4 linked regions of the Macaca fascicularis genome follow. The main gene of each other region encodes a partner of the protein of the gene in region 4 in a complex. Links are inferred from orthologs where the notes say so. Each region holds a gene or a part of one and is shown on either strand. Other genes may lie near its edges.

Region 1 (8,358 bases), on a different chromosome or scaffold from region 4:
CTCTGCTAGATGATATAACAATAGATGACCACAAAACTTGCCTTTCTTAGGAAGGCATCTTGGAGCAAGGAATACCAGATGAACAGGGCTAGCCATGCTGTTTGGTGGAGGGTATCCGCATAGTACAGCAAATGCAAAGGCCCTGAGGTAGGAAAGCGTTTCCTGAGTTTGGCTGAAGTATACTGCAGCACCAGGGAGAATGGGAAGGGGTGGACCTTGTCAACTTCTTGTTATATAATATCATGTTGTGAAGTTGAAATTTTATTTTATTGCTATGCACCTTTTAAAATCTTTTCATTACTTTTGAATTTCCCATGCCTTTATTGAACATATACAAAATTGTGCTTATATGTCAGTGTGAGTTTGTTTTTAACATAACTGCTGCACTGAGATTTATTCAACAGTGTTTCTTAGAGATCTATGTTATTATATTTTTATAAAGGTCATTCTGTATAACAGCTATAAAATATTCTATTGTGTGAATATACCACAAGTAACCTCCAGTGGTCAGCCTGCCTCTACTATGCCCACTCTCCAGGCTTTTATTTCCTGAATGTAGCTTCTTTACCTCAGTAAGTGGTAAACACTTTGTAAATGAAAACATTGCCTTTTATTTTCTTGGTAGTCATTTCTTAAAAGTACTGTGTGCACAGAAAGAGCATATTGAATGCTTACAACAACCTAGTTATGGAAAAGCAATAAGCCTCCTGAATCCTTTGCCCTTGAAATTTCCTTGCCTGGTGCTCATAACACACTTTGAATAGGTCTTGAAACTGCGGGCCTTCAGCCTAAGGCAGTATGTCATCTGGGTACTCTGAGCAGGGAAATAATGAAAAATAATGTTCAGTTAATGGCACAAGCCATTCGCCACACAGACAGTGATGGTTTTCAGAGTGGATTGAAAGGAGAATGGCTAATTCTGCTTCAAAACATCCTGGAAATTGTCTGCCTCCTGAATTCTGAGGGACGCTTGGGAGGAGGAGGTGATAGGTGACTTAATGTTAAATCCGGGTTCCCTCCCCCAATATGTTACTGTGAAAATTTTCAAACATACAGAAAAGTTGAAAGAATTGCGCAGTGTGCCCATTACCTAGACTCTACTATTATATGGTCCCCTATTTGCTTTATCGTATCTCTGTTCATCCACCCTTTACCCATGCATAGAGGCATCCATACATCTTATTTTTGACGCATCTCAAAGTACAAAGAGCACCATTAAATAGAGTTCAATGCTTGTAATTCTTTTCTTTTTTAAAAAAATTTTGAGGCAACATTTACATCCAGTGAAATGTACAAATCTCAAGTGGACCATTCCATCAGTTTGACAAACGCCTACAAGGTAGAACCCAAGCTCTTATTAGTATTTGTTAAATCCATGTTAGAGTTTGATCAGAGAAGCACAGCCTTTAAGACTCTCACCCTGCTTTGAGGAGAATGGCAAAAATCTGCGAAATTTCTCAGCAGAGTCAGGAGAGAGTAACACTGGTAACGTGAAGCACGTCAAGCTAAGAAAGGAAGCACTGAAGTTAATTGTCCTGAACGGAACCTGATAAGAATCTGCCATTTCATCCCCTCAAGACTGGACTCAAGTTGGGAGAGAATATTGCCTTTTGCCCTGTCTAAACTAATATCACTGTTTAGATCTACAAAGTCCCCCACCTTCCCATGTTTATGTATTACACTGCATTACAAGTCAAAATAACACAGAGAATCTGGAAAAAGGAGAAGGGGAATGTTTCCAACGAAAAGCACACCCCTTAAGGCGTCTGGCCTGAGAGCTATATAGCATGCATAAAATCTGATAATAAGCACATTATGACCCACATTGCATATAACAAAAAGTAGGGCACTTCTGAAGGGTCCTGAGAAACAGCCCTGGACTTTTAAAACCTGCTTTAAGAAGGCGATCAACCGTACGCCACTTTCAAACGCAGCACTGACATGTATGCTCCACAGTCATCAACAGAGAAAACAACAGTTTTCAACAAGAGTTGAAAACTGAGTTGAGGGTTTTTTTTTTTTTTTTTTTTTTTTTTTAAGTTTGAGGCCAAAATCGGTATTTATTCTTTTGAATGATGCTTATATCTTTTTCCTGGTTAATATGCACGCTGGTGGTACAATTTTGAAAACTACGTAACGTGATAGAACCACCACCCAGAAACGAGTCCTGTTAACAAACTTTTTGTATTCAAACTTTTTCCACTGCACATAGTTTTTATTTTGACAATGCTTTTAGACAATCGTTCTTTTAGCAACCAGCACTTTCAAACAAAAAGTACAGGGAATAGTAAGTTTTTTCCCCCTCCTCTGGCAGATTTGACCCACAAATTGCTATAGGAAGAAAGTGTTAATTATATTAAAACATAGTTTGACAGAAAGTATTTAAAAAGAGAAAGGGAAAACATCACGCTTTTATTTTGGTGAATTAGCAACAAAGAAAAGGATTAGCATGGACGGGTACTTTTCAAAAATATTTTTTTTTTCCTCTGGCTCCCGCTAGGGTGGAGGAAGTTGTCTCTGCTCAGAGACAGGGTGGAAGAGAGTGGAAGGACAAATGACTGAGAGGCGGCCCCCTCCCACTGGTGCGGGCGTGCGGGGGTCGGATGGGGGGCCGCGGAGGGGGGAGGTGGCCAGCAGGTGCCTGGGCTCCAGTCCCCTACCCCCACCCTCGTCCCCACCCTCACCCACACCCAGGGATTGGCCTCGCCCCCTGGCGGGCGAGCAGTAGGTGTCGAGGCACTGGGGTGGGGGGTGCAAACCCCGCGGGCAGCGGAAAAGAAGCCGTGGGGGGCCTCCCGGCCCCGGCACACACTGCGAGGCTGGCACCCGCCCGCACGCACACCCAGTCCGCAGCCCCGAGGAACATGTCCGCAGCCAGGGCGCGGAGCAGAGTCCCGGGCAGGATAACCAAGGAAGGGCGTGTGCTGTGGCGGCGGTGGCAGCGGCAGCGGCAGCGGCAGCGGAGCCGCTAGTCCCCTCCCTCCTGGGGGAGCAGCTGCCGCCGCCGCCGCCGCCGCCACCATCAGCTCGCGGGGCCCGGCCGGAGCTAGCCCGGCGAGCGGCGCGCGAGGGGGAGGGCGGGGGCGGGGAGGGGGGTGGGCGAAGGGGGCGGGAGGGCGTGGGGGGAGGGTCTCGCTCTCCCGACGACCAGAGCCCGAGAGGGAGACCCTGGCGGCGGCGGCGGCGCCTGACACTCGGCGCCTCCTGCCGTGCTCCGGGGCGGCATGTCCGAGGCTGGCGGGGCCGGGCCGGGCGGCTGCGGGGCAGGAGCCGGGGCAGGGGCCGGGCCCGGGGCGCTGCCCCCGCAGCCCGTGGTGCTGCCGCCCGCGCCCCCGCAGGGCTCCCCCTGCGCCGCTGCTGCCGGGGGCTCGGGCGCCTGCGGTCCGGCAACGGCAGTGGCTGCAGCGGGCACGGCCGAAGGACCGGGAGGCGGTGGCTCGGCCCGAATCGCCGTGAAGAAGGCGCAACTACGCTCCGCTCCGCGGGCCAAGAAACTGGAGAAACTCGGAGTGTACTCCGCCTGCAAGGTACGCGCTCGCCGTTCTCGGACCGCGGATGGGTGCTAGGGGCCCAGCCCGCGGGACCCCCCTCCCCCTCCCGCTTCCACCTCCGCCTCCCGCCTTCTGCCTTCTGCCTCTCGCCTCCCGCCTCCCGCCTGGGGCCGCTGCACCGCGGAAGTGCTCTTGTCGCCCGAGCCCAATTAGCTTCTTCTTGGATAAGAGTCCTGCTGGGTTTGAAGAAGGGGATCACTAAGACGGAGAGCCCTTCATTCCTTCCGCTTGAAAGGAGTAGCTTCGGAATCCGAGCTCCCGGGCTACTCTGGGGTTTTGTTGCTCTGTAGGAGCTCGCTGGAGTCACTTTCGCGGGAGTGGAGCGGTGCTCTCCATGTGGTGGGCGACCCAGGGGCAGGGAAACATCTTTTGGGGGACTGAGTGGTCCCTTCTGCAGTCCATCCCTTCCCGTGTCCCACTGGGAGGAACTGGGTGCAAGGAGTCGGGGTGGAGAAGACTCCCGGACTCCTGGCGCTTTGGGAAAGCGAAGGGGAGGAAAGCGCGGGGTGCGAAGGTGGGCAGAGCCCGAGGCGAGGGTCTTGTGGCGCCTGACGCCCTCGGCTGGGGGCGGAGGCGCTGCCGCGCGCAGTGACAGCCCTGTCATTATTGTATTATTACTTGTTTAGTTAAAACGCTGTCCCAGCTGCTCGAGGTGTAAACAGGATTTGGCAAGGTGACAGCCCAGCGCCGCGGACGCTACTGCTTGGTTTGAGGACACCCATTTCTTGCTACCCACTCTCCGTGCCAGTTTAGGCACCCTGTCATCCCCAGCTGCAGATCCAGATGTGGGGGCCGTGCTCCCGAGGTGGGAGGATTGCCCGAGGCCGCGGGGCAGGCTGGCCCTGCGCTGTCAGCAGCGGCTTTGTTTTGACAGGGTGACAGCTGAGGGGGGCGGGGACTTGGCCTTGTCAGCTCCTGCGGCCTGTGGCAGAGGCAGGGAAGAGACACACTCACACACACTCACACACCTCCCTGTATTCTTCCTGCCTGCTGCAAAGAGGGTCAAGTTCCCAGATTCCGGATTCCCAATTCCCACAACCAAGCTGCAGTGGCCACTTCTGAATTTTGATATAACTATTATTTATTCTACTGGAACATCTGGGTTATACTCTTCTTAGTACTTACAGGAGCTTCTTAGTCACAATGGAATGTCTGTGCTTGCTCTTTTTCCACACCGTATCCTCATGTTTATGTTGAGCACCTCTGTATCCTATACTGGTTCGATAAATATTTGTTGAGTGAATGTGGGATCTAGCCCAGTGCTCCTCAAACTTTCATGTGCATGGGAATCTCCTGGGGAAGCTGGTTAAAATGCTGATTCTGAATCAGGTGGTCTGAGGTGGAAGCTAAGAGTTTGCATTTCTGACGAACTCCCAAGTGGCACTACGCTAGTCCACAGACCACATTCCAATTCAGACCTGGACAGTATATTATTTGTCCCCGTTGAATTTAGCAGAAAAGACAGAAACAAATAATAATGCCGTGTGGTTATTTCTGAAGAAGGAATGCAAAAAAGATGAAGTGGGGAGTGTGCTTTTTGAAAGGTGCAAGCCCAGGAGTTGATCATGAAGGGCATTAGATGAATGAGAACAGGCCACTGACTGTAGTAGGCAGAAGGGAGAGCTAGGTACAGAATTAAGAACAAGGTCGTGAGTTCAGGGCATACTGCTTGGGTGATGGATACACCAAAATCTCACAGATCACCACTCAAGAATTTATGTAATCAAACACCACCTGTTCCCCCAAAACCTATGAAAAAAAAAAAGCAAGGTCAATTACTTGGTGGCCTTGGCGTTTTGCAGCCAAAGTGGGCTCATGCAGGAACTGTGTCAACTCAGTGTTTCTGTCCTGGCTTTATTTTAACATTTGTTTATTGGGTTATCATTACCAGCACCTCTTAAAGACTTCCTGCTGCCTGCTGTAGCTTTAATATCTGAAAACTTTCCTGAAGTTTTGGTTTTGTCTAAAACCATGAGCATATGTGGCCTGCATTGATGTTTTTGATCTTTTCAAATTTCCATGGGTGAGATGTAGCACCACTTCCAAAGTTTGAGATTTGAGTGTTTTCTGGTCACTTTCATGACCAAACAAGAGAAATAGAAAATTTATTTTAAGGCCTTTTTTTTTTTTTTTTTTTTTGAAACAGGATCTCACACTGCCTGCAGGCTGGAGTGCAGTGGCATGATTGTAGCTCACTGCAGACTCAATCTCCCTGGGCTCAGGTGATCCTCCTACATCAGCCTCCTGACTAGCTGGGGCTACAGGCATGCACCAGTACACTATTATTATTATTTTTTGTATTCTTTGTAGAGACAGGGTTTCACCTTGTTGCCCAGGCTGTTCTCGAACTCCTGAGCCCAAGCACTTTGCCCGCCTTGGCTTCCCAAAGTGCTGGGATTATAGGCATGAGACACCATGCCCGGCTGAAAGTGTTCATTTTTATGTGTCCATTCATTCAGTAAATATTTGGAGGGTTACCAACTGGGTGTCAGGCATTGTGCTAGGTGCTGGGCCTATGACACACAGAATTTGTCCTTCAGGAGTTACTTACTGTGTGTGTGCACAAGTGCATGTGTGTGCATGCATGTGTTGGGGCCTAGGGAGGAGGGCAGTGAACCAGAATTACAGAGAAGTTCAGAAAAACTACTTTCTTGGAGTACTTGCGGACCCAGAGCAGGACAATTCATAGACTGGGGCACTGGTAGGGTGGGATTGCCTTCCTGGAGGAAGTGTCAGTGGCTGCTAAGAACTCCTGGCAGGGCAGAGTGGGGTGGGGTGAAGCTTCTTGTAGTGGAGAAACTGAAAGCAGTTCTGGAAGCTTGGAGGTGGGCCAACTCCAGCCAGACCTTTGTTGCCTAGGGCCACCTGGTTGGGGGTGAGGGGTACGTGGCCAAGAGGGCACTGAGGAGTGCAGGAATCTTAACCTGGGGAGTGACACTATCTCAGATTTGCTTTAAAAAAAAAAAAAATTAACTGGGCTCGATTGGATAATAGGGAGGGTAAGAGAGCAGAATCTGTGGTTCTCTCTTGGCTTGTTTCTGCACTTACTATGAGCAAGCCCGAAAGGACAGATTGCTCTACCTTTGCCACAGGCCCCTTGGCAAGTTAGATTAGAGAGATTAGAGAATGAGGAGGGATCTAGAAAGAGATAAGGTAGTTTGCTGGGGGGCTTTTGAAAGAAAAACAGGTCCCAGGCCTGATATAAATCTGGCCTTTAAACTTCACAAACAAAACCAAAAAAGAAGGGAGCTAACTCAGCCAGGGTGATGTGCCACACCCCAGAGAAAAGAAAAAGGAAAAAAAAAAAAAAAAAAAAAAACAAAACAAAAGAAAGAAAGAAAAAGAAAAGAAACAAACAAACTTGTTTTGCAGGATCCAGATCTTTGAACTGTGTCCTGGTAAAGGTTGCTTCAGAGTCATTTTGCTTATGTGTGGCACAGCCAGAGTGATCATTAAAAATGTAGATCTAGGCCAGGCGCAGTGGCTCATACCTGTAATCCCAGCACTTTAGGAGGCTGAGGCGGGAGGATCACTTGAGTCCAGGAGTTTGAGGCCAGCCTGGGTAATATAGTGAGACTTCGTCTCTACAAAAAATAAAAAATTAGCCAGGAGTGGTGGCAGAGGTTGCAGTGAGCTGTGATTGCGCCACTGTACTCCAGCCTGGGTGACTGAGCGAGATTCTGTCTCAAAAAAAAAAAAAAAAAAAAAAAAAAAGTAGATCTGACCATGTTATACCCCAATTTCAGGCCCTATAATTTCTCTTTATTGTGGTCCAGAAGGCCCTGCATGGCCCGGCTACTGCTGTCTGTGGCTCCTTTTCAAGGCTTCAGGCACATGGTTTCCTTTCACCTAGTAAGGGGTGAGGTGGGGTGAGGGGCTTTGCACATGCTGTTCCCTGGGACTGGAAGCTCTTCTTTCCACACTTGAAAATTAGCTCCCAACTCTTCCTACAGAACTCAGATTCCTTGCCTTTCCTTTACCCTCCTGAGCAGCCTTCCCATTAGAAATTATCCAAATTCATCTGTACTCTTTCTGGTGCTTTTCTTATGATTTTTATGATTTGTACGATTATTTGATATGCATTTCGAATCTTAGATTCTTAGTGATGCGGTTATCGACTAAGCGAATGAACCAGAGAAGAGAAAGTGCAAGAAATGATTAGCTGTGATGATAGCAGTTGTGGAATTATAACTGAATCACTTCTTGACAACTGAGTAGAGATTTGTCATACAGGACAGTTCTAGGTATCCCACAGATATTGATAGGATTGGCTTATTTATTTATTTATTTATTTTTTGAGACAGGATCTTGCTCCGTCACCCAGGCAGGAGTACAGTGGTGTGATCTTGGTTCACTGCAACCTACACCTCCCAGGCTCAAGTGATCCTTCCGCCTTAGCCTCCTGAGTAGCTGAGACCACAGGCATGCACCACCACACTCAGCTAATTTTTGTACTTTTTGGTAGAGATGGGGTTCTCCATGTTTGCCAGGCTGGTTTCAAACTCCTGGGCTCAAGCAGTCTGCCTGCCTCGACCTCCCAAAGTGCTGGAATTACAGGTGTGAGCCACCACACCTGGCGTATTTATTTATTTATTTTAGAGACAGGGTCTTGCTCTGTTGCCCAGGCTGGGGTGCACTGGCATGATCATAGCTCACTGCGGCCTTGAACCCCTTGACTCAGTTGATCCTCCCACCTCAGCCTCTTGGGTAGCTGGGTCTACAGGCCTGCACCACCATGCCTCCTTGGGATTGGGTTTTTAATGTTATAAAAGAAACTTCAAGTGAATGTATGAGTAGGCCAAATCCC
Region 2 (7,727 bases), on a different chromosome or scaffold from region 4:
TATTATATTACAATAAATATAATAATTTCTCTTTTTTCAAGCCCAGTGAAAACATAGAATTTTTTTTTTTCTTTTTCTGAGATAGAGTTTCACTCTTGTGGCCCAGGCTGGAGTGCAATGGCGTGATCTCGGCTCACTGCAACTTCTGCCTCCTGGGTTCAAGCAATTATCCTGCCTCAGCCTCCCAAGTAGCTGGGATTACAGGCACCTGCTACCATGCCTAGCTAATTTTTGTATTTCTGTAAAGACAGGGTTTCACCATGTTGGCCAGGCTGATCTCGAACTCCTGACCTCAGGCGATCCACCCACCTCGGCCTCCCAAAGTGCTGCGATGAGCTGCCGCACGAGCCAGAACAATTTCTTAATAGTTTAATGAAATAGAAGTCAGAAGAATTCGAAAGAGAGGAAAATGACAATCAATTAAGATTTCAGCACTCCAAAGAAAATAAATTTTAAAAAACCTGTAAGTATACTTTAAGAAAATAAATTTCAAACAAGTTTAGGTTACCAGTCAAAAAGGCTGAGACCAAGTAGTCATCAAGATTAGCCCTTGGGCTAGAAGTATTTAACTTTGAAGATCTGAGATGACTTATATCCTATTGTATCAGAAGAACTTGTGAAAGATGTTGTTCTTGTCAAGAAATGGGAAAAATTAAGAATGTAGTATAGATTGGAAATATTTATAAAAAGAAAAAAAGTCCTGATCTAAGCTCTTTTGGTAGGATAGGGCTGAGGAAGTATAACAGAAATACATTAGTAAATACTTATAGGCCTACTGGCATTCTTTTGGAAAGAAGAGCTAGCATATCAATTTCAACTAATTTTATGACAGCAACATTCCTCTTTTCTTTTAAGTCAAGCAAAAATCGTAACTTGGTAAGTAGAAATATATCAATTCAGGCATAGCTTATTTTATTGTGCTTCACCTTACTATGCATCACAGATACCAAATTTTTACAAATTGAAGGTTTGTGGCAACCCTACCTTGAGCAAGTCTATCAGTGACTTTTTTCAAATATCATGTGCTCACTTTCTGTCTCTGCATCACATTTTGGTAACTACTGCAGTATTTCAAACTTTTTCATTACACACTGTGATCAATGATCTTTGATGTTACTATTATAATTGTCTTGGGGTACCGTAAACTGTACCCCTGTAAGACAGCAAACGTAATTGATAAACGTTGTTTGTGTTCTGATTGTCCCACCAGGCTGCTGCTGGAATTACAGGCGTGAGCCACTGCGCCTGGTCAACATAACCTTTATATGCACTGGGAAACCAAAAAATTCATGACTTGCTTTATTGTAATATTCACTTTATTGCAGTAGTCTGGAAGCAAACCTGCAACATCTTTGAAGTATGCTTGTATATATAGAGACCATTTAATGAATGAATCAATATTTGAAAAGTTAGTACTGACAGGGTATCTTTTAACACTGTCAAATTTGGGTGATTGAGAAAACCTATCAAATAATGTCATCTAAGCAATGAATTGAGGCAGAGGGTCAGCTAACATTTGTAGTATTTACTTGGAAATGTTTAATAAATATTGTTAAACTGAAAAAGGGAGGCAAAGACCCTGCACACAGAAAACAAATTATATGGCTAAGAACTTCCTAGACCAACCATACAATTTTAAAATAAAGACTATATAAATCAAGTATGAAGGAGGTAATATGAAGTGCAATTAGATAAGTGACTTCCATAGAACTGTGGAGAAAAGATTTACAGTTATGGCCCAGAAGGGCACAGCCACACAGATCTAACCCTAAGAATTGTTATGTGTTCCCAGAATTCTTAAACATACTTTTCTTGCACTATTACTATCATATATTACTGTAGTTTTAAAATTAACTACCCAATATCCCCTTCTGGTTGGGTCCAGGACCCCTGAGGAAAGAGGGACTTACCAATTTCTGGGCCAACTAACAAATCCCTTGCTATCATGTGGTGCTAAACTTGCCCTTTAGTCATTAAAAGCCTCACTAATAACTCCTATTCCTAATGTTACAAGACATGAGTGAAAAAAGTTTCAAAAGTTAGTTCCATACATTTGAAAATAATCTTTCTGGGAGAGAATAAACAGTGGAGAGATCTGTCTTTTAAAATATAGACGTACTCTCGGCCGGGCACGGTGACTCACGCCTATAATCCCAGCACTTTGGGAGGCTGAGGTGGGTGGATTGCTTGAGGTTAGGAGTTCGAGACCAGCCGGACCAACATGGTAAAACCCCATCTCTACTAAAAAAAAAACAAAAACAAAAATTAGCCAGGCATGTTGGCACATGCCTATAATCCCATCTACTCAGGAGGCTGAGGCAAGAGAATCACTTGAACCCAGGAGGCAGAGGTTGCAGTGAACTGAGAAAAGGAGAGGCTAAAAAAAAAAAATACATAAAAATAAAGAAAATGAGACGCTGGCTGGGCACGGTGGCTCACGCCTATAATCCCAGCACTTTGGGAGGCTAAGGTGGGCGGATCACGAGGTCAGGCGATCGAGATCATCCTGGCTAACACAGTGAAACCCCGTCTCTACTAAAAATACAAAAAATTAGCCAGGCGTGGTGGCGGGCACCTGTAGTCCCAGCTACTCGGGAGGCTGAGGCAGGAGAATGGCATGAACCTGGGAGGCGGAGCTTGCAGTGAGCCGAGATGGTGCCACTGCACTCCTGGGCGACAGAGCAAGACTCCGTCTCAAAAAAAAAAAAAAGAAAGAAAAAAAAATATATATATATGTACTCTCACAGTGACGTGTCTATGACTGTGTCTAGCAAAGCTTAAGATGAAAGAATAGCAGTTAACATTGTTTATTAAGATTTATCAAATGTAACCCTTCAAAATATTTTATCAAATACTTATCAAATGTAATCCTTCAAAAATATTTTAAAAGATATACTAACAATCCGTTCCTGTAGTACAGTTTTACTTTCTGCTGCTAATGATTGTTCTTTTAGTATCATATTAAAAATCTGAGAAACACGAGTAGACACATTTTCTGGAATAGATGTGAGAGATCCAAGTGCTACTGTAGTAATGGTATCTAACGCAGAGACACTGGAAGACAGCAGATTACCTAGAACAAACAGAAAAAAACAGAAAGATGTAAACTTTGACATAAATATATTTGATATACACATATATATATATTAAATACAGTTCAAACCATTTCAGAGAAGTTGGCAAAAGTATACCCTTGTAGAATTTGTAATAATGAGCTTAAAAGAACTGGCTCACTACATAAGCAAGGAAATATTTAAATATACATTACATATTTTCTATAGTGCTCTGTAAGCCCTTAACATATTTGTAAGTGTATCAGACCCATAATTCATAGTGCACAAAGAATTAGAATATTCTATAATTAATCTCTAACTAAAAATAATATACAGAATTATGGTAAGTTTACAGAAGAAAAGAAAAACTGGAAATCAATACCAAAATGTATTGATTGTGCTTGGCTTAATGAGACTAGAGTCTAGATGATTTTTTAAATTTTTATATTTCTAGATGTCCAAATTTTCCATAATGAAGATAGTATTTCACACTAAATAAACATACTTTTTTCTAAAGGGAGATAATAGAATAGTTAAAAACAATGAGACACAAACATATTCTGACAATATAGCAAATCATCAAGATATACATGCCCCCCCCAATAAAAAGTTGCAGAATGTTTATGCACAGAAAATTTCTAGAAAAAGGCCCAAGAAATTTAACAATAACACCTATGGTGAATGACCCAGGGACAGGAGCCAGAGTCAGGGAAAAAGAGGACTTCTAACGTTTATATACTTAGTTACTTAATAAATGTAACAATTTATAGAAAACAGAAGGGAGGGTGGGGAGGGAAAAAGATTTGTTTTAATTCAGAGACAGTAAAGCATTAATCAGCAGCCTGAACAAATAGTTTGTGCATTGTAGAGAGTATTGGTGACACTGTCATCTATGTTTCACAAAATTAAATTATCAGTTTTGAAATCAACATCACACTTAACACATCAAGACTAGAACAGAACAGCCTGAACTTACCAAATAAGGTCTTATGTACTTCTAGCATGGCCTTTTGTTTTGAGCTGCCATCCTTAATTAATTCCTCCATATTATTAAATAGACTATTCAGGTTTTTGCCAAAAATATCCTGAGCTTCTGCATTGTGTTGGTCAACTGCCTTCTTACGATCCAGTTTGGAATGGAGATCAGATACATCTTTTGTAGTTTCTTCAACTGTGTTAAGCAGCTGTATTTTAAAAAATAAGTGTTAGACAAAATGGATATGACGAAAGGAATCTAATGAAAGTATCTACATAAGGATTTATCTTGATAAGAACTAGTAAATTTTCCAGCCTGACCAACATGGTGAAATCTCGTCTCTACTAAAAATACAAAAATTAGCCAGGCGTGGTGGTACACACTTGCAGTTCCAGCTACTCAGGAGGCTGAGGCAGAAGAATTGCTTGAACCTGAGAGGTGGAGGTTGCAGTGAGCCAAGATTGTGCCACTGTCACTCCAGGCCGGGCGACAGACAGAGAGACTCTGTCTCAAAAAAAAAAAAAAAACTAGTAAATTTTAGACATTGTATCAGAAGAAATGCTTTAACTTATGCTAATTTATCCAGATGCCCAGTAATTTTTATTTCCCTTCCTGTAGCCATCTACGCAAGCAAGGAAAACTGATTTTGTCAGTTATTGCAATAATCATGCCTCCTCAGAAATTTTTTCCCTTCTATGTTCTACTATTTCCTCAAAAGTACACCTAATGGCCGGGGGTGGTGGCTCACACCTGTAATCCCAACATTTTGGGAGGCCTAGGCAGGCAGATCACCTGAGGTCAGGAGTTTGAGACCAACCTGGCCAACATGGTGAAACCCCGTCTCTAATAAAATTCAAAATTAGCTGGGTGTGGTGGCAGGCACTTGTAATCCCAGCTACTTGGGAGGCTGAGGCAGGAGAATCGCTTGAACCCGGGAGGCAAAGGTTACAGTGAGCTGAGATGATGTCACTGCACTCCAGCCTAGGCGACAAAGCAAGAGTCTGTCTCAAAAAAAAAGTACAACTAATAAAAAATTAAATACCTTCAACATCTTTCATCATTAGAACATACTAAATTCTTTTTTTTTTCTTTTTGAGACAGAGTCTTGCTCTGTTACCCAGGCTGGAGTGCAGTGGCATGATCTCGGCTCATTGCAACCTCTGCCTCCTGGGTTCAAGCAATTCTCTTGCCTCAGCCTCCTGAGTAGATGGGATTATAGGCATGTGCCACCATGCCTGGCTAATTTTTGTATTTTTTTTAGTAGAGATGGGGTTTTACCATGTTGGTCAGGCTGGTCTCGAACTCCTAACCTCAAGCAATCCACCCACCTCAGCCTCCCAAAGTGCTGGGATTATAGGCGTGAGATATTGTGCCCGGCCAGAACATACTCAATTCTTAATGACTAATTAGGTTCAATCATCCCCACAAAGAAAAAGCATCACAACATCACATTCTAAATGTCTACAAAACATATTATAAAGTTATGTTCTATTTTCTTTTTTTTTTTTTTTTTTGAGACAGAGTTTTGTTCTTGTTGCCCAGGCTGGAGTGCAATGGCGCGATCACGCCCAGCTAATTTTGTATTTTTAGTAGAGACGGGTTTCTCCATGTTGGTCAGGCTGGTCTCGAACACCTGACCTCAGGTCATCCGCCCGCCTCGGCCTCCCAAAGTCCTGGGATTACAGGCGTAAGCCACCACGCCTGGCTAAGTTATGTTCTATTTTCCAAACTCCAGGAGCAGGAGTAGTTTTTTCATAAGTCAACATCTCCACTAAGAAAGATATGGATGAAATAGTAAAATAATGTTTTTTAAATGGACAGAAATACCATTTTGGGTGAATAAACAGAATATCATAATTAATGCTTAAGCACAGACATTATTTCTACCCATTCTCTATTTAATATGAGTATAAATCAATACAAGGGACAAACCTTGCTGGCAGCATCATGAAGTTTCTCCTCAGTACTTTCCAAAGCTGATGTGATATATTCTTCTTTAACAAGTTGTAATTTAGTTTCTTGCAAATGTTTCTGAGTGGTTTCAAGTTCTTGTGTTTTATTTTGCAGGTCAGATTTACACTGGTCAAGTTCATTTTTATTATCCATAAACAACTCTGTAACCTAAATATAATGTAGAAATTAAAAAATGCTGATCTGGTTGGTAGGATATCTGGCTAGTTCATAAGATTAGAAAAATGAAACAAATTATTTCCATGCAAAAGCTGTAACAAGTTACCCAGTAGATTAACACAAACATGTCATCCGGTTTCTTTCTGCAATCTTACTCAACTCTTTGAGATTAAATAATAGGTTTGGGGTAGTACTATTAATTCTTCAGGTTCCTTCAACATTGCCATTGAATTTGAATAAAACAGTGTTAATGTGGCCCGGCAAGGTGATTCACGCCTGTAATTCCAGCACTTTGGGAGGCCAAGGCAGGAGGATCACTTGAGCCCCAGAGTTTGAGACCAGCCTAGGCAACATAGCAAGACTCCATCTCTACAAAAAAATAAAATAATTAGCCAGGTATGGTGGTGCATGCCTGAAGTCCAGCTACTCAGGAGGCTGAGGCAGGAGAGTTGCTTGAGACCAGAAGTTTGAGGCTGCAGTAAGATATGATTACGCCACTGCACTGTAGCCTGGGCATCAGAGCAAGACCCTGTCTCTAAAAAATAATTTAAAATGGCCAGGCATGGTGGCTCATGCCTGTAATCCCAGCACTTTGGAAGGCCGAGGCGGGTGGATCACGAGGTCAGGAGATAGAGACCATCCTGGCTAACACGGTGAAACCCTGTCTCTACTAAAAATACAAAAAATTAGCCGGGCGCGGTGGCGGGTGCCTGTAGTCCCAGCTAGTCGGGAGGCTGTGGCAGGAGAATGGCGTGAACCCGGGAGGCGGAGCTTGCAGTGAGCCAAGATCACGCCACACTCCAGCCTGGGTGACACAGTGAGACTCTGTCTCAAAAATAATAATAATTATTATTATTAATAAATAAAGGTATTAATATGAGAGTGGCCTGAAAGGTCAGGCCTCTTGCCTACCCTAGTTATATTACTTTTCTTTAATATCCAGTCTCTCCCAATATCTGTGTTCCTTCATCTGATAAACATGTTAACAAAAATGCTTCAGCATTCACTATTTTGTAGTTTTAATAACAAAATCAAACAATTCAGTTAATTTTTTGTAATGTTTCATTAATATAAGCTGTCAGCTTTTTTTATGTGATTGATGATAGTAAAAAATCATGATATAACTTACTTTCAGTATAAGGGTCAGCAAAATAAAATCTTTTTTTTTTTTTTTTTTTAAATAAAATCTTAAAGAAGGAGCTGGGTGCGGTAGCTCATGCCTGTAATCCGAGCATTTTGGGAGGCCGAGATGGGTGGATCATGAGGTCAGGAGTTCAAGACCAGCCTGGCCAGCATGGTGAAACCCTGTCTCTACTAAAAATACAAAAAAATTAGCCGGGCATGGTGGCACACGCCTGTAATCTCAGCTACTTGGGAGGCTGAGGCAGGAGAATCGCTTGACCCCAGGCAGCAGAGGTTACAGTGAGCTGAGATCACACCACTGCACTCCAGCCTGGGTGACAGAGCGAGACTCCATCTAAAAAATATATATATACATATATTGAAGGAAAAAATATTAGGTCTTTCACCTTCTAAAATTTTCTTTCAATATTTGCTTTTCACATAAC
Region 3 (7,727 bases), on a different chromosome or scaffold from region 4:
TTCCTCATAATGAAATAAAGCATAGCTTAACTGTCAATATGCTCTAAAAAGGTATTTTTTCAGGTGTTTAGAAGAAGGACAGCGGACAGCAAGCCTGATGATGATGACTGATCTTTTTTATTTAATTGCTCAATTTTCCTCTTCTCCAAAAACTTAAAGAGTGACACATTATAGTACGTGGAGTACTAAGCAAACTCCTTTTGGTGATAACGATCACTTACTTGACATGCTTTGATTACTTACTAAATACGGATACCAGCTATATAATCATAACTATCCATTGAAAACTTATTATTTCTAAGCACTTTACATATATTACTGACACACCTTACAACCATATACCTACTGTAAGCAAGGTAGTAATTTTTTCTCATTTTACAGATGTGGCAAAGGAGAATGAGAGAGTAAACTGCCCAAGGTAAAATAAGCAATAAATGTCAGAGCTGGGATCTGATTCCAGTAGAGTGACTCCTGCTCTCAGTGAAAGTTGAAAATGAAAATAAAGAAAGGTAAATAATGCATTTCCAATCTATGCTGATGCAAAAACATGAAAACACACACACAAATCATATACAGGTCTATTTGGTATTTTTAGAATATTTTTTAATTTAAAAAAAGGTACTTTTAAAGTCAATAAAAGTTTCCTTTTATAGAGAATATTTTTATCCACTAAAATATAAGAAAACTAATCACTAAATATATTTCCTCCCTGTCACAAGTAAAGAAAACATTAAACCATTAGAGATATTATAAAGATATGACCTGAGTTAAAAGTACTGTAGCACAAGGTATCCCATGGCTTCTAGAAAACCTTAATTCTTGCACCAGAGGATTTCTAAGGGCAAAGCAAAAGACCCAGGATTAAGATCTAATATGCAGCGTTAAGCGTGGACAAGTCATTTACAAGACAGCTGTGTCCAATGGTAGCTCACGGGAGCATCATGGATAGTTCCCTCTAATGCTTTCAAGTGGTTCTTTCCCATCTGGGCTAGTTTCTTCACATGCATGTGCTGATCTGTATTTTGCCAAATACTCCAGGGATACCCTTCTACAAATCTCCAGAGTTCACTCTCCATTCTGTTTTCTGTTCTCTTGGGGCGCTGTCTCACAAACTCAGCTGTCTTGGTCTCCTTATCTCCATCACCTTAACTGAGTCTGCCTGACTCTGGGTGGGTTTCTCCTTCTTGTGCCATATCTGAAAACCCTCTTAAACAGTAAGCTAGGGTAATTTCGGGCTCTTTTCATTTGTTTCCCATATCTTAGCAACTGCATTCCTTTGCTGCTCAACGTTGTGTTTAAATACCATTATTTTATATACTTTGTCCAGTGTTTTGGTAGTTTCAGACAAGTTCTTGTTACTTCATTTGGCCAGAGTAGAATTCCATGAATTAAATTTTAAGTTTCATGTAATTCTAATCAACATACATTTAAAGTCACATGTACTGCTATTGTATTGGACACCACCAGAATTGAGGTTCATTATCAAAACCTAGCAGTCTGTGAGATTATAAAATGATTAAAGAGAGAACAATTGCGATTCTTTTTATAAAACTGTACTGAGCTTAAGAGTATTATGTATTACGTGCTATGCTCAAAATGGACATTCCAGACTAAAGTTAATGCCAATATTATTAACTCAATAAAAACCCACATAGTGTTGACCACCTCCTAGATGCAAAGCAATTTATTAGGTGCTACTGGAGAAAAAGACAAATAAGACATAGTCCCTGCTCTTCGGGCATACAATTTGTTTAGGACTTGCTAAATAGATAAATTGCATTAAAAGACAAAGTGACCATGAAGGGAGGAATAAAGTGTTGCAGATACATAAAAAATAGAGCAACTAATACTAAATAACATAGGGGCAGTGCTGGTAAGTCTTTATAAAATATAAGGCATCCAAGTGAGATCATTAAGAATGAAGAGAAATTAATTATTAAACATTCATTCATTTAGTATCTACTTTATGCCAGGCCTTGTGCTAGAAACTGGATAGAAAAATGGGTACAATACAGTATTTATTCTCAAAGATCTCATGATCTAATGGGAAAGAGTACAATGTGGGGTAACTGTAGTGGCAGCGTCCAGGGGACCTGACCTAGAGCAGTGGTAGTAATGACAGAATATCCTAGAGTTATTTAGCCTATTGTTTCCTCTGATTATTTGCTTTCTAGCCACACTCCCTTCCTTTTCCTAGTCTGCTATACTAATTCCCTATCCACCCAGAAATGACTGGACTACAAGTGGACATAAACCTCGGAGGAATCAAGTCAAATGATGGTCTATGCCAATCAAATTCTTTCCTGAGATACAATGGGAGCAACGAAATATACAAATTGAGTTAGTCATTGTTAACCCCTAAACTGGGAAGTGACAGGGAGTTGGTGGTCATTTTTTTTTTCATTTGCATACCATCACAGAGAAAGCCAGTCTGCATTTATAAAAAAATTTTCATGAGAACAGAGACTGTTTTGTTTACTGCAGTATCTCCAGTGCCTAGCATACACACTGCCTGGCCATAACTTTTCCCCATATTTCAATCCTTTTGCCCAGTGGCCATGGTAACAAAAGTGGGGACTTGAATATAGCAGGAGATTAAGAAAGGGAAGAGGGTGGCTGCACTAGGGTGGCACCCAAATAATGATTCCCTAGTTGAGGGCACAAACTCTTGCATTAAATACTTTTGCACAGTTGCAAATCTTTTGATTTGTATGAGTCAAATAAATGAGAGCAGAAATAGGATAAAGTTATTTTTGTTGAAAACTTACGGTAAGAGCCATCTGCGCTAATTTCCTCACTTATAACCAGGCAGGTAATCTGAGAATATGGTAAGGGATTATTTCGATTATAGGGACTAACAATCATTCCAATGAACTTTGCACCTCCTCTGGAGAAGTAGCTCTACAATTACAAGAAAAATATAATTAGTTTCAACTGCATAAACTCAAAAGCCAATATTTATCCATACTAACATTTTAAACATCTAATGAGGAAAAGCAGGAACAAAAAGGTGCATTAAAAAGTTCACATCTGGCCCAGAGCGGTGGCTCACGCCTGTAATCCCAGAACTTTGGGAGACTGAGGCAGGTGGATTGCCTGAGGTCAGGTCAGCCTGATCAGGCTTGAGACCAGCCTGGCCAACATGGTGAAACCTCATCTCTCCTAAAAATACAAAAATTAGCTGGGTGTGGTGGCACATTCCTGTAACCCCAGGTACTCAGAAGGCTGAGGCAGGAGAATCCCTTAAACCTGGGAGGTGGAGGTTGCAGTGAGTCGAGATCGCACCACCTGCACTCCAGTCTGGGTGACAGAGTAAGAAGACTCTGTCTCTAAAAAAAAAACAACAAAAAAAGTTCACATCCCAACTGAAACTAAATCAAATGCCTTAAATATTCATTTCACATTGTACATTTTTCAGGCAAAAATGTGTTCAACCAAATCCAAAATGACCCTTAAAAATAAAAAAATGGCCTACACAATCTGTATTTGCCATGAATATATTCACTAATTATATTCACCACCCTGCATCTGTAATTCTTATCAACACAGTAATAATTTACAAATACCCTACAGCAAACCCAGTCACATATCAAATGTAAAATCCCAGATTAAAATAAAACTTTTTCTCCAGCTATTAAAAAATACATTATGTCTCTTATTATTTCAGTTATATTTAGTACCTGTCCTAGTTGTTCCCATCAATTTTTAAAGGCTCTGGGAGTATTTATCACTGTAACATTCATGGCTTGTCTGTACTTAATAAAATAACTGACTTTCTAAATGTTTACATAAACAATTATCAATCTCTCAATCAGAAAAAAAAAAATGTATGTTCTTTTAAAACCCCCAGTATACATAATTTTTTCTTTTTTTGGTTGGGTGTGGTGGCTTATGCCTATAATCTCGGCACTTTGGGAGGCCGAGGCGGGCAGATCACCCGAGGTCAGGAGTTTGAGACGAGCGTGGCTAACATGGTGAAACCCCATTTGTACTAAAAATACAAAAAATTAGCTGGGTGTGGTGGCACATGCCTGTAATCCCAGCTACTTGGGAGGCTGAGACACAAGAATTGCTTGAACCTGGGAGGCAGAGGTTGCAGTGAGCCGAGATTGCACCATTGCACTTCAGCTTGGGCAACAAGAGTGAAACTCTGTCTCAAAAAAAACACAAAAAAACAAAAAGAAAAATAAATAGATAAAACCCCCATTATAAAGAAAATTAGAAATGAAATACAAAAAATGTTTAAAGTTTATCTATTTAAAAGGGAGCACTGAGGGGGTGTGCAACCATTTACAGAATATAAATATACAGGTAATACCTGGTATTTAGCTTGTGTGTCAATATCTCGTAAGGAAGGATTAGGATCAAAAGCAGGATGAGAATGATACCATCCAATAACACTGTAGCCTCTAACAGCCAAGGTTTCTGAGGCCTGTGTTTGTGATACAGGATCCATCTCACACTGTAGTCCTGTACTCAGACTGTTACATGGTTCTGCTGCACAGACCTATAAACGATTGATCCTCAAATGATTATACTAAAATCCTGTTAATTCTATTACTCTAATTCTTTCAGAGATACAGAAACTTTTCAAGGCCAAGACTTTTATTTGACAATATCATAGGCGCCTTTAACTTGCAAATGACTTATACTCCAAAAGTCTGATTATATGCTAGGAACTTAGCATGCATTTTTCTACTCAAACAAGGTCATAATAATGGTTAGTTTTCCAGGTCAGCCCACATAATACCCGTACAAAGGTATTCTTTCAATGACTCCTGTTACTTATGACAACAATTTCAACAGAATGATGCATACAAACTTTCAACTACAAGTGTTAGTACATATTTCTGGCCTCTTAAAAGTTGTAGTTTTTTGCTAATAAAGGTAATGAGGACCCAAGGCCTGGCAATGTTCTCTCTTGGTGGTAAAAAGGAAAAGGTGCTCGGCATATGGAATGTTAAGTTACTCCTGGGAATAGATAACTTGCTACATTTGCATATTCTCATATATATCATAGGTAAAGTATATATTTTAATTATATTCACTGAATTCTATAAAAATATTTGGTATGGTAGTAGGACTAAATAACTAAAACATTTTTTAAAAGAGAGAACTTACTTCAACTACTTTATCAACTTCTGAGTATCTTCCTCCTAACAGACCAATCACTTCTGCCATAGAAACATGAGCATGCTAAAAAAAATACAAGACAGACTTAGCCCAAACGCACAAACCCACCTGACAAAAAAAATAACAAAACTCACTTATTGTAAGAAAGTCATTTGTAAGTACAGTCATCATGCTTTTATAAAATAAAGTAGCATAGGAGAGGAACTAGATGCTAGGATCAGTGCACAGAAACTATTTCAGGTCTATCTTCACTGCTGGCTGAGAAGCTTTCAACCAAACACTTAAAAATTCTCAGACTCTACTTTTGCAATTGCAAAATGAAGATACACTCTTCCTATTCAAGGAAGGTACTATGTAAGGATACAAAGTAAAAATCACTCTAAATCCTTCTACACAAAGACATCACAAACACAAAAACTGTTGGAGGTACTGGTAGTTTAGTATAAACAAAAAAACCCTCCAAATTACAGGAGTTGTACTTTGTTTCAGTGATCTAAAAGGTGGCAGACACAGATATTAGAAAATTAAAGTAGGGTTAATGATGGTAAACAGTCTGCAAAAACTCACATTAATTTATTTTCTCTAAAATATGGAAACATGCAATTGTTTGGCTTTTCTCCAAAAGAAAAGACTTATTTTTAGATTCCTTGTAAAAGAGGATAGTTAAGATCCAAAATACACGTCTTCCATACTCTGTCTTACGCCTGCAATAAAAATACACAAGAGTAGAAATCAGAATAACTAAGTAAACACAATAGATTATCCTTACCAAATCCATTATTAAAAGTGCTTCTGAAGCCACTTTCACCTGAAATGGCTCCTGAAATATAAAAAACAAAACAAAACGGGGGACCATAAAAACAGAGATTTTGTTCTCCCCACCTGGAATGCCCACCCTGTTCTCCTTCATCCACCCCACCAAGTTCTCAGCACTAACCAAAGCTCAGCACAAACTAGATTTTTAAAAAACATTATGATTTAAAACCCCAGCAGGGAGAAATTGTCTCTCAGATTCAGTCATGCCTTGCACATATGGAAAAAGAGTAAGTATTTCCTGTTTGACAGGGGGAAGCGGGGATTGTCTAGGGTCATTCATTAATGCATAAATAGTACCTGCTTTTCTTCACTAAAAAAATTACAAGGTATCAGTTGGAAGGGATCAAATGAGCTGAAAAAGAAAAAAAATTATTTTCAATATCAACAAGATTAGGAAAATAACATTTGCAAATTTGAAAGTGTATATCAATAATCTGAACCCAAATTCTGTCTAAATGAGAAAAATATTAAACTAGGAGAGTTTTGTAGGAGATTCCATAAACCCTTTTGAAAGAAGCACTGTTCTTTTAGATTTAACAAGAACAAAAAAAAAACCCAAGAACTTTGAGATAAAGTTACTCCATTGTCTTAATTTCCTATTACACTCAAAGAGGACACTATAAACTATCAGACATATGTCCCACACTAAAAGGAGATTTCAAAAAGTTCAATGAAAATATAATTATCTGTTATGAGACCCCCAAAAAAGTTCAAGAAAGATGGAAGTTTATCAAAAACACTTGTCAGTTCAATAATGTGCCAACAATAGAGTAGGAACTTAAAACTTTTTTTGAATGAATGAATGACAAACGGTTCTGGTAAAGATATTAATGTATTAGTCCTATGATAAACTCTTGTATTAAAGTGAAAAAGTGGCCAGGTGCTGTGGCTGACATCTGTAATCCCAATATTTCGGGAGGCCGAGGTGGGTGGACTCCTTGAGCCTAGGAGTTCACAACCAGCCTGGACAACATGGTGAAACCCCATCTCTACAAAAAAATTTAAAAATTAGCTGAGCATGGTGGCGTGTGCCTATAGTCCCAGCCACTCGGGAGGCTGAGGTGAGAGGATCACTTAAGCCCAGGAGGTGGAGGCTGCAGTGAGCCATGATTTCACCATTCCACTCTACTCCACTCTAGCCTTGGTGACAGGGTGAGACCCTGTCTCCAAAAAACAAGAAGTGAAAAAGTAAAAAGAGGTGAAAAAGGGAGAACCTAAGCGAAGTCAAAAGCACACATAAATCTGAGAAATATCAGAAAGTCTTTGACGAGTAAAGAATTGAGGCTTGAAAACTATATTAAGAACAATAAAAAGGTTTTTTAGGCTATCTTCAGGGAAAGAAAAACACACAGGAATACATTCGCATTAACACAACTGGAAGAGAGCAGGGCAATTCCGTTCTCATTCAACCACAGATGGTTAGCTTCAAGAGAACATTTTGTTTTGCTTAATAATGTATCCCAAGTGATCAGAACCGTGCCTGACATATACTGTAGACATTCAAAGATACTTGTTGGATAAAGAAAGACCTTTAAATTAGAAAGTGTTTAATCAACAAAAAAGAAACTGAAGGCCAAGATAGATGAGAAAATAGCACAGAAAGAACATCCTGGAGTACTTAAGAACCACGGATATGGAACCGCTGTCAATGTTTGTTGAGGAACTGCAGAGAATGGGAAAGTTATTGAAGGACTAGAAATGGACAATTATTGAGCTTGTTTCACAATACAAAAAAGCAGACTGCAGAAAAGGACGAATTAGATGTTGAATAGTAGTAA
Region 4 (7,727 bases):
CAGGAGAATCGCTTGAACCCGGGAGGTGGAGGTTGCGGTGAGCCGAGATTGCGCCATTGGACTCCAGCCTGGTCAACAAGAGTGAAACTTGTCTCAAACAAAAAAAAAAAGTCTGGGCGCAGTGGCTCACACCTGTAATCCCAGCACTTTGGGAGGCCAAGGCAGGTGGATCACCTGAAGTCAGGTGTTCGAGACCAGCCTGGCCAACATGGTGAAACCCCATCTCTACTAAAAATACAAAAATTAGCTAGGCATGGTGGCACACACGTGTAGTCCCAGCTACTCGGGAGGTTGAGGCACAAGAATTGCTTGAGGCCGGGCACAGTGGCTCACGCCTGTAATCCCATTATTTTGGGAGGCCGAGGCAGGCGGATCACGAGGTCAGGAGTTCGAGACCAGCCTGACCAACGTAGTGAAACCCTGTCTCTACTGAAAATACAAAAATTATCCGGGCGTGGTGGTACACGCCTATAGTCCTAGCTACTCGGGAGGCCGAGGCTGCAATGAGCCGAGATTGTGCCACTGCACTCCAGCCTGGACAACAGAGCAAAACTCGTCACCAAAAAAAAAAAAAGAATCGCTTGAACCTGGGAGGCAGAGGTTGCAGCGAACTGAGATTGTGCCACTGCACTCCAGCCTGGGTGACAGAGCAAGACTCCATCTCAAAAAAAAATAAAATAAAAGGATGGTTAAATGGTAAATGTATATTTTACCACAATAAAAAAAATCTAGAAAAAATATACAGAAATTAAAATTTTAAGTATATTTTAGGCCATGTGCAGTGGCTCATGTCTGTAATCTCAGCACTTTGGGAGACTGAGGCGAGAGGATCACTTTAGTCCAAAAGTTCAAGATCATGCTGGGCAACACAGTGAGATCCTGTATCTATAAAAAATTTGAAAATTAGCTGGATGTGGTGGTGCATTCCTGTAGTCCCAGCTAGTTGGGGCTGAGATGGGAGGATTGCTTAAGCCCAGGAGGTAGAGGCTACAGTAAGCTATAGTTGCACTACTGCACTCAGCCTGGGCAGCAGACCGAGACCTTGTCATAAGTAAAATAAAGTTTATTTTAAAACAGTCTATCCAATGTAGTTTTAATTATCATCTTTCTCTTGAGATGGAGTCTCACTCTGTCATTCAGGCTGGAGTGCAGTGGTACACTCATAGCTCACTGTAACCTAGAAGTCCTAGGCTCAAGCAGTCCTCTCGCCTCAGCCTCCTGAGTAGCTGGGATTATAGATGTGCACTACCATGCCCAACTAATACGTTGTGGTGGTGATTGATGGTGGTTTTGTAAAGACGGGATCTTGCTATGTTGTCCAGGCTGGTCTTGGCCTCAAGCGATCCATCCTCCCACTTTGGCCCTGCAAAGTGCTGGGATTACAGGATGAGCCATCTCACCTAGCAAAATTTTCATCTTTCATTGTAAGTGAGATAGAGCATGTTTTCAGATACACATAGTTTATATTTTTATCTGTGAATTCTGTTCACTTCCTTTCCCCATAGTTTTTCTTAGTTTATTGTCTTTTGACTTGGTTAATGATGTTTTTTGTTTTTCTGTTTTTCTGTCCAAGCAAAAGTATTTTATTTTTATGTAGTTGAATTTAGTAATCTTTTCTTCTGTGGCTTCTGGATTTGGATTATAGGTTTCCCCATTTCAAGATTATAAAGAAATTATTCAATTATTCTATATTTTCTTCTTTTACTTTTATGATTTCATTTCTTTCTTTGTTTTTTTTGTTTGTTTCTTTGTTTGTTTGTTTGTTTGTTTTAAAGACAGAGTCTTACTCTGTCATCCAGACTGGAGTTCAGTGGCTTGATCTTGGCTCACTGCCGCCTCTGCCTCCCGGGTTCAAGGGATTCTCCTGCCTCAGCCTCCCAAGTAGCTGGGATTACAGGCGCGTGTCACCACACCCGGCTAATTTTTGTATTTTTAGTAGAGATGGGGTTTCACCATGTTGGCCAGGCTGATCTCGAATTCCTGACCACAAGTGATCTGCCCACCTCAGCCTCCCAGAGTGCCGCCCACGCCTGGCCTGTGGTTTCATTTCTTATATTTAAATCTTTGATCTGTTTGAAATATATCCTGGTATATATGTGAAATATAGTCATAATATCTTGCACATGTCTAGGTATTTAACCTTTTTGATGAATTGTACTTGGGACCTTTCTATTTTCTAAACAGTGGTTACATTAATTTGTACCCAGCATCCTTACTGATTTATTATTTATAACAGTTTTTTCAGTTGATTCTCTTAGGCTTTGCAGGTATATTCTCTTATCATTTACAAATAATGGTAATTTTACCTTCTTCTTTCCAGCTTTTAACCTTTTTTCTTCCTTCCCTGTTTAATTGTTTTAGCTAGTGTCTTTAGAATAATGTTAAGAATGCTGTTGATAACGGACATTCTCATGTTGTTCCCAACCAGAATTGGAATCCTGTTAGTATAGTAGCATTCTTCTATGTCATCTAGTTTTTTCTATTTTAAGTAAACATATATTGGTTGCTTTTAGAATGCTTTTTTAGTCATTATTTGTTCAAAATAATTGTTGAGCGCCTACTGAGTGCTAGGGAATATGGCAGTGAGCCAAGGTCCCCTCATTTCCTGGAGCCCATATTCTAGTAATTTTTTAACTCATCAAAGAAACACAGATTAGGCCATGCACAGTGGTGGAGGCCTGTAATCCCAGCACTTTGAAGGCTGAGGTGGGTGGATCACTTAAGCCCAGGAATTTGAGACCAACCTGGCAATGTGGTAAAACCCCATCTCTACAAAAAATACAAAAATGAGCTGGGTGTGGTGGCACGTGCCTGTGGTCCCAGCTACTCAGGAGGCTGAGTTGGGAGGATGGCTTGAGTCTGGGAAGTTGAGGCTGCAGTGAGCCCTGATCATGCCACTGCCCTCCAGCCTGGGCACCAGTGCCAGATCCATTCTCAAAAAAAGAGAAAAGAAAAATGCAGATGAAATCAGCTTTGAGATAATTATTTTACAGTTATTGCGGTAGGAGAAATTTTAATGAAAGAGCTGCTAGTGTCGGCAAGGTGACAGTGAAGCAGAGGTAGGGGACGTGGTGCAAGACAGGGAGGAGGGCCCTCACCCTTGGGGATCCTGCAAACTGCATGGGACCTTGGTGAGCATTTTGGTGTTTGATCCTGAGACTGAGGGGGAACCACTGAAGGGACTGAGATGGGTTTGAGTGGCTTTGCCTTAGAGAGCACTCATATTTGGGATTTGGGATGTAGAGACTGAACTGGGGAGGTCCAGGTAGAAGTGAGGAGACCAGCCAGGCCACAACCAAGGTGCTCATGAGAGAAGCCAGCGGCATGGACCGGAGAGTGACATAGGACCAGAGAGAGGCGGGTTGCACTTCAGAGATGTGGAGTAGATATTTAGGAATCCCTGTTCAGGGGCAGGCCTGAGGGCTTCCAAAGAATAGAGTAGAGGGAGGGAAAATGAAAGTTTACAGGGGAGAAACCTGGCAGACACTGCCTTAACCAGATGACCAAGGTTAACATCACCAGAGCTAAGTCATGGTGGTAGCATGTACTTCCTTATCTGATAGGATCAGAAGGGCACCTCACTTCTGTTGTATGCTCCTCCAAAACAACGAAACCCTATAACCATGAGAACACATCACCTGGGCCTCTTGCACCTTTTAGAAAGGGCAACCTTCTGATCCCTCCCCATCCTTCTTCCTCCACTAGTGGTGGTCGTGGTGACAGGACTGGGCGCTATGGAGCCACTGACCGCTCGCAGGATGATGGTGGGGAGAACCGCAGCCGAGACCACGACTACCGGGACATGGACTACCGTTCATATCCCCGCGAGTACGGCAGCCAGGAGGGCAAGCACGACTATGACGACTCATCTGAGGAGCAGAGTGCGGAGGTGAGGAGGGGCGAGCTGCGCCAGGCCTGACTGGGATGGGCTCCCGAGAGCCCTCTGTGTCTGGCTGCAGCACCGTGTGCAGGCGGCTCTCCACTCCCATGCCTTCAGACTGTGCTCGGTGGCTTTGCCTCACCTGGAGGGCCTGTTCCCACTCCCCTCTCTGAGGGCTCCTCTCCCAACCTGGGTCTCCCTGGCTTCCACATGCTTGGCTCTGTACTTCTGAGGGCCCCTGGCCACCACTCTTTCCTTCTCCCTGTTGTTCAGTTCGGGCCCATGGCTCACTGTGAACCCTATACTGCCCACTCCCAGCCAACTTGAGCACTTGAAGAGCCTCTTCCGTGGGACCCGGCGTCTGGGGTTGGGAGGACAACCAGGGGAATGCAGACTACCAAGCTGAGGAGCTCTGGGAGGCCAGCCATGGACATTCCCAGTGGTGACAGAGCCCCTAGACAGAAGGGAAGGATACTTCTAGAAAAGCCAGTGCCATGTTGGGTAGTTCACCCTAGCCTAAGGGATGAGGCATGATGTTTACACCATCAGGAGCCCCTACCGGAGGGGAACAAACAGGCTTGCCTTAGGGGAATCCCAGTTGGAGGGGCAGTCAGGGCCCTGGTCCACACGAGCAGGCAGCTCTCCTGTCCAGCAGGCTGGGAAGGGTGTTCTTGCAAGCCCAGCCCTAGGGGGCAGGCTGTGAGCTGCCCACTGCCCTCTGGAGGGTCCAGGGCGAAAACTCCTTTGGTGGACTGCCTGGCTTCTCCAGTGGCAGCTGTCAAGCTGTACCCAGACGTCTCCAGGAGCACTGGGCCCTGGCCAGGGTAAGAATGGAGCACCAAGTTATCTGGCGCTTCCCCACTGTGGGTAGGAGGGCTTTGGCCCGAGGCCTGGTCTGCTTAGTCCTGGAATAGATGAATGGGCAACAACCCAGAGCCCAACAGCCATACCATTTTGAGCGTGGTGTGTGGTGGAGGACTGGCCAAGGCTGAGGATCAGGGACTGAGGAGGAAGTGTCTGCAGCCCTCACACCACCTCTACCAGCTCTTGCTGGCTGGCTCTGGCTGAGATCTGAAGCTGTTCTTATGCCCCTAGCTTAGTTGCAGGGTGGAACCATAGGAGACACACAGCCTTCGGTGGTACAGTGAGCAATTGAGCACACCCCCTGAGCTGGCCAGAGAGGAGGGGGAAATCAAGGGTGGGGTCTGGTGTGCTGACCCCAGGCCGTCTTGCCTCAAGGAGGTTTAAGCTGTGTTTTGTCAGCTACCTTTGAGAGATCCCCCCCAACACCAATACTGCCACCTACCTCTCCCCACCCCCTGAAGGCAGTCCCCAAAAGGACCCCATGGAGAATTTCCAGCCCCAGAAGGATTGCAGGCCAGGGCCTGCCCACCCTGCCTGCCTGAGCCTTTAGCCGGAGCCCGCACATCCCTGGCTTTCAGAGCCTGCCCGCCTCACAGAGCCAGCGGCCAGCTCCTAGGCCTGCCCAGACTGACTGCCCGTCTGGTGTCACTCATCTCATTCTGTCGGCCAGGATTCCTACGAGGCCTCCCCGGGCTCCGAGACTCAGCGTAGGCGGCGGCGGCGGCACAGGCACAGCCCCACCGGCCCGCCGGGCTTCCCCCGAGACGGCGACTATCGGGACCAGGACTATCGGACCGAGCAAGGGGAGGAGGATGAGGAGGAGGAGGATGAGGAGGAGGAGGAGAAGGCCAGTAACATCGTCATGCTGAGGATGCTGCCACAGGCAGCCACTGAGGATGACGTACGTGCCCCCCATGGCCCCGGGCAGGAGGCCAGGCTGGGTCTCCTCCAGGGCCCTCAACTTTTCCCCACCCCTCCCTCACCCGCAACCTCAGTGCCTTTCATCCCTTCTCCCCCTCCAGCTACTATCCCCCAGCACTGATCCGTCCTCTGTGGGCAGGTCCCATTGGCCCCCCGGTCTGGAGGGAGGAGTGTCAGAGAGGCCGGCTTGGCCAAGGGGCAGCGGCTGTGGGTATCCGGCAGTGGTGGGTTTGGGCGGGAGAAGAGCAGTCCTGCACATTCCACTGGTCGTCCAGCCATTTTGCATGTGTGCATCAAGGGCCAGATACTCACCGGGCCAGTGCTGGCTATTGCTGGTAGCAGAGATGACACTGGGGCCCTGCAACCATTGGGGGAGGGGTGGGATTTTCTGAAATTTCCTTCTCCTTTTTCCCCATCCTCTTTTGTCAGCAGCCTGGCCTGGCCTCAGAGCCTTGGGTGGCTGTTAACAGCCTCCCCGCCTGCCTCCCTTTCCTCGCGTTTCCTTTTCATACATACTTCTCATGACAGCCACACTGAAGCCCCATGAGGCCTACCAGAATAACTTCCAAGAATAGTCTCCCTGATCCTGGTCCTTCTTAGTCCACTCTGCCGCCCCTCACCCCCCACCCCCATGAATTCTCTGAAATTCCCTCACCCCCTAGCCCTCCTCTGAAATCTGCTAGCTGCTCATTTTGTAGCAGAGAAAATCCCACTTGTGTATTTGAGGGTTTCTAAGGTCTGGCCCACCTGCCCTGTCCAGGGTCAGACAGTAGCTGGTTGCTGACATTTGTTGAGAATGTATCTCAGGATGGGCCATGTGTTAGGTGTGATTCAGTCCCCATGGCATCCCAACAGGGAAGGTACTGAGTGGGAATGTGACTTGCCTGAGGTCTTACAGCCAGTGAATGGTGGAGTGGAGCTGGAGTCTGAACCCAGGCAGCTGGACCCCAGAGCGCACTTTTTGCTGCTTCCTCAGCCTTCCCTGAGTTTGGAGTCCTGATAAGCTCTTCTGTGTGTTTTTCCTTTTCATCCTGTGTATGGGTGTGTGTAAGTCTAATCTCCTGTCTTGTTTAACCTGGTGGGGAAACTGAGGCCCAGAGACATGAAGACTCCTTCCCAAGAATGGTTGGCATAGGCTCCTGGTCCTCTGTGAGAGACCTCACTGGCCTAGAGACCCTGCCTCACCTGTTCCAAATCCTGAATTGCCTCTGCAGTCTCGCTCTGGCCTACTCCATCCAGGAAGCAATCCCCAGGACTATATCTTTTTGCTTTTTGTCTCCACCCTAAGTTATTGCTGCAGTCATGGTCTAGGGTACATGGCTAGGATTTGCTCAGACTCCTGTCCTCCCCAGTTTGGCATTTATGTCATGGATCTCTTTTGACGCAAGCTGCAGGTCAGCGGGGCAGGGGCGGGGGCATGGGTTATCCCCTTGCCAAGGGCAAGAATTACTTCCCAGGTTTCCTTACTTCATGGCTGCCACGGAGCCCTTTGTCAGATCACCCTGCCCACCGTTCTTAAATGGCTGGCTCACTTGCTTTCTTGTTCTCTGTGTCCCTGAGGGTCGTCCTGCTGCCATGCTTTACCTTGCTCTGTGCCCATTTCTTCATTTGATTCACTTTCTGCAAGTCTGGGGCTGAAAGTCAAGACTGTGAACTGGTGTGGGCCTGGGACTGTTGTCACTCAGGGAAAAGCTGCGAAAGAGGCAGAGGAGACTGTGTGCACATCACGGATGACCCCTTGGGATCCAGAGGCCTCCAGCCAGCCTCAGGTACCCAGCGGCCCCATTGTGCTGAGCCTGCCCCACTCTGTATCTCCCCATATAGATCCGTGGCCAGCTGCAGTCCCACGGCGTGCAAGCACGGGAGGTTCGGCTGATGCGGAACAAATCTTCAGGTGAGCTTTTGTTCCCAGTGCCCTCCCCTTCCAGTGGCCAGCCTCAGCCTCGGAATCTCCCTCCTACCTCTGCCTTCTCCCCGACTCCCTCCACCACCTTCCTGCCACAGCTGGGAATGGGCAGTGTGGGGGGTGCCCTCTCTTCTCTCCCCTTCCCCACACTCTCCT

Evidence for each region.
Region 1: RBM10 (region 4) and KAT2B share a complex: the UniProt entries of both Homo sapiens proteins name them as parts of the large chromatin remodeling complex. The link is inferred for Macaca fascicularis from reciprocal best matches to the Homo sapiens genes RBM10 and KAT2B.
Region 2: RBM10 (region 4) and KIF11 share a complex: the UniProt entries of both Homo sapiens proteins name them as parts of the large chromatin remodeling complex. The link is inferred for Macaca fascicularis from reciprocal best matches to the Homo sapiens genes RBM10 and KIF11.
Region 3: RBM10 (region 4) and MYSM1 share a complex: the UniProt entries of both Homo sapiens proteins name them as parts of the large chromatin remodeling complex. The link is inferred for Macaca fascicularis from reciprocal best matches to the Homo sapiens genes RBM10 and MYSM1.

The regions. Positions count from the first base shown.
Region 1 is NC_088376.1:28,386,628-28,394,985, reverse strand, and holds the start of KAT2B (histone acetyltransferase KAT2B), read left to right. Parts: upstream 1-3,149; 5' UTR 3,150-3,224; coding exon 3,225-3,527; intron 3,528-8,358. UniProt on the Homo sapiens protein: Functions as a histone acetyltransferase (HAT) to promote transcriptional activation. Has significant histone acetyltransferase activity with core histones (H3 and H4), and also with nucleosome core particles.
Region 2 is NC_088383.1:101,408,976-101,416,702, reverse strand, and holds part of KIF11 (kinesin-like protein KIF11), read right to left. Parts: intron 6,151-7,727; coding exon 5,962-6,150; intron 4,238-5,961; coding exon 4,030-4,237; intron 3,074-4,029; coding exon 2,901-3,073; intron 1-2,900. UniProt on the Homo sapiens protein: Motor protein required for establishing a bipolar spindle and thus contributing to chromosome congression during mitosis. Required in non-mitotic cells for transport of secretory proteins from the Golgi complex to the cell surface.
Region 3 is NC_088375.1:176,028,835-176,036,561, reverse strand, and holds part of MYSM1 (deubiquitinase MYSM1), read right to left. Parts: intron 6,302-7,727; coding exon 6,247-6,301; intron 5,954-6,246; coding exon 5,903-5,953; intron 5,838-5,902; exon of another isoform or gene 5,701-5,837; intron 5,197-5,700; coding exon 5,122-5,196; intron 4,508-5,121; coding exon 4,319-4,507; intron 2,902-4,318; coding exon 2,769-2,901; intron 836-2,768; exon of another isoform or gene 763-835; intron 1-762. UniProt on the Homo sapiens protein: Metalloprotease with deubiquitinase activity that plays important regulator roles in hematopoietic stem cell function, blood cell production and immune response.
Region 4 is NC_088395.1:47,272,278-47,280,004, forward strand, and holds part of RBM10 (RNA-binding protein 10), read left to right. Parts: intron 1-3,098; exon of another isoform or gene 3,099-3,139; intron 3,140-3,705; coding exon 3,706-3,889; intron 3,890-5,414; coding exon 5,415-5,645; intron 5,646-7,489; coding exon 7,490-7,559; intron 7,560-7,727. UniProt on the Homo sapiens protein: Binds to ssRNA containing the consensus sequence 5'-AGGUAA-3'. May be involved in post-transcriptional processing, most probably in mRNA splicing. Binds to RNA homopolymers, with a preference for poly(G) and poly(U) and little for poly(A).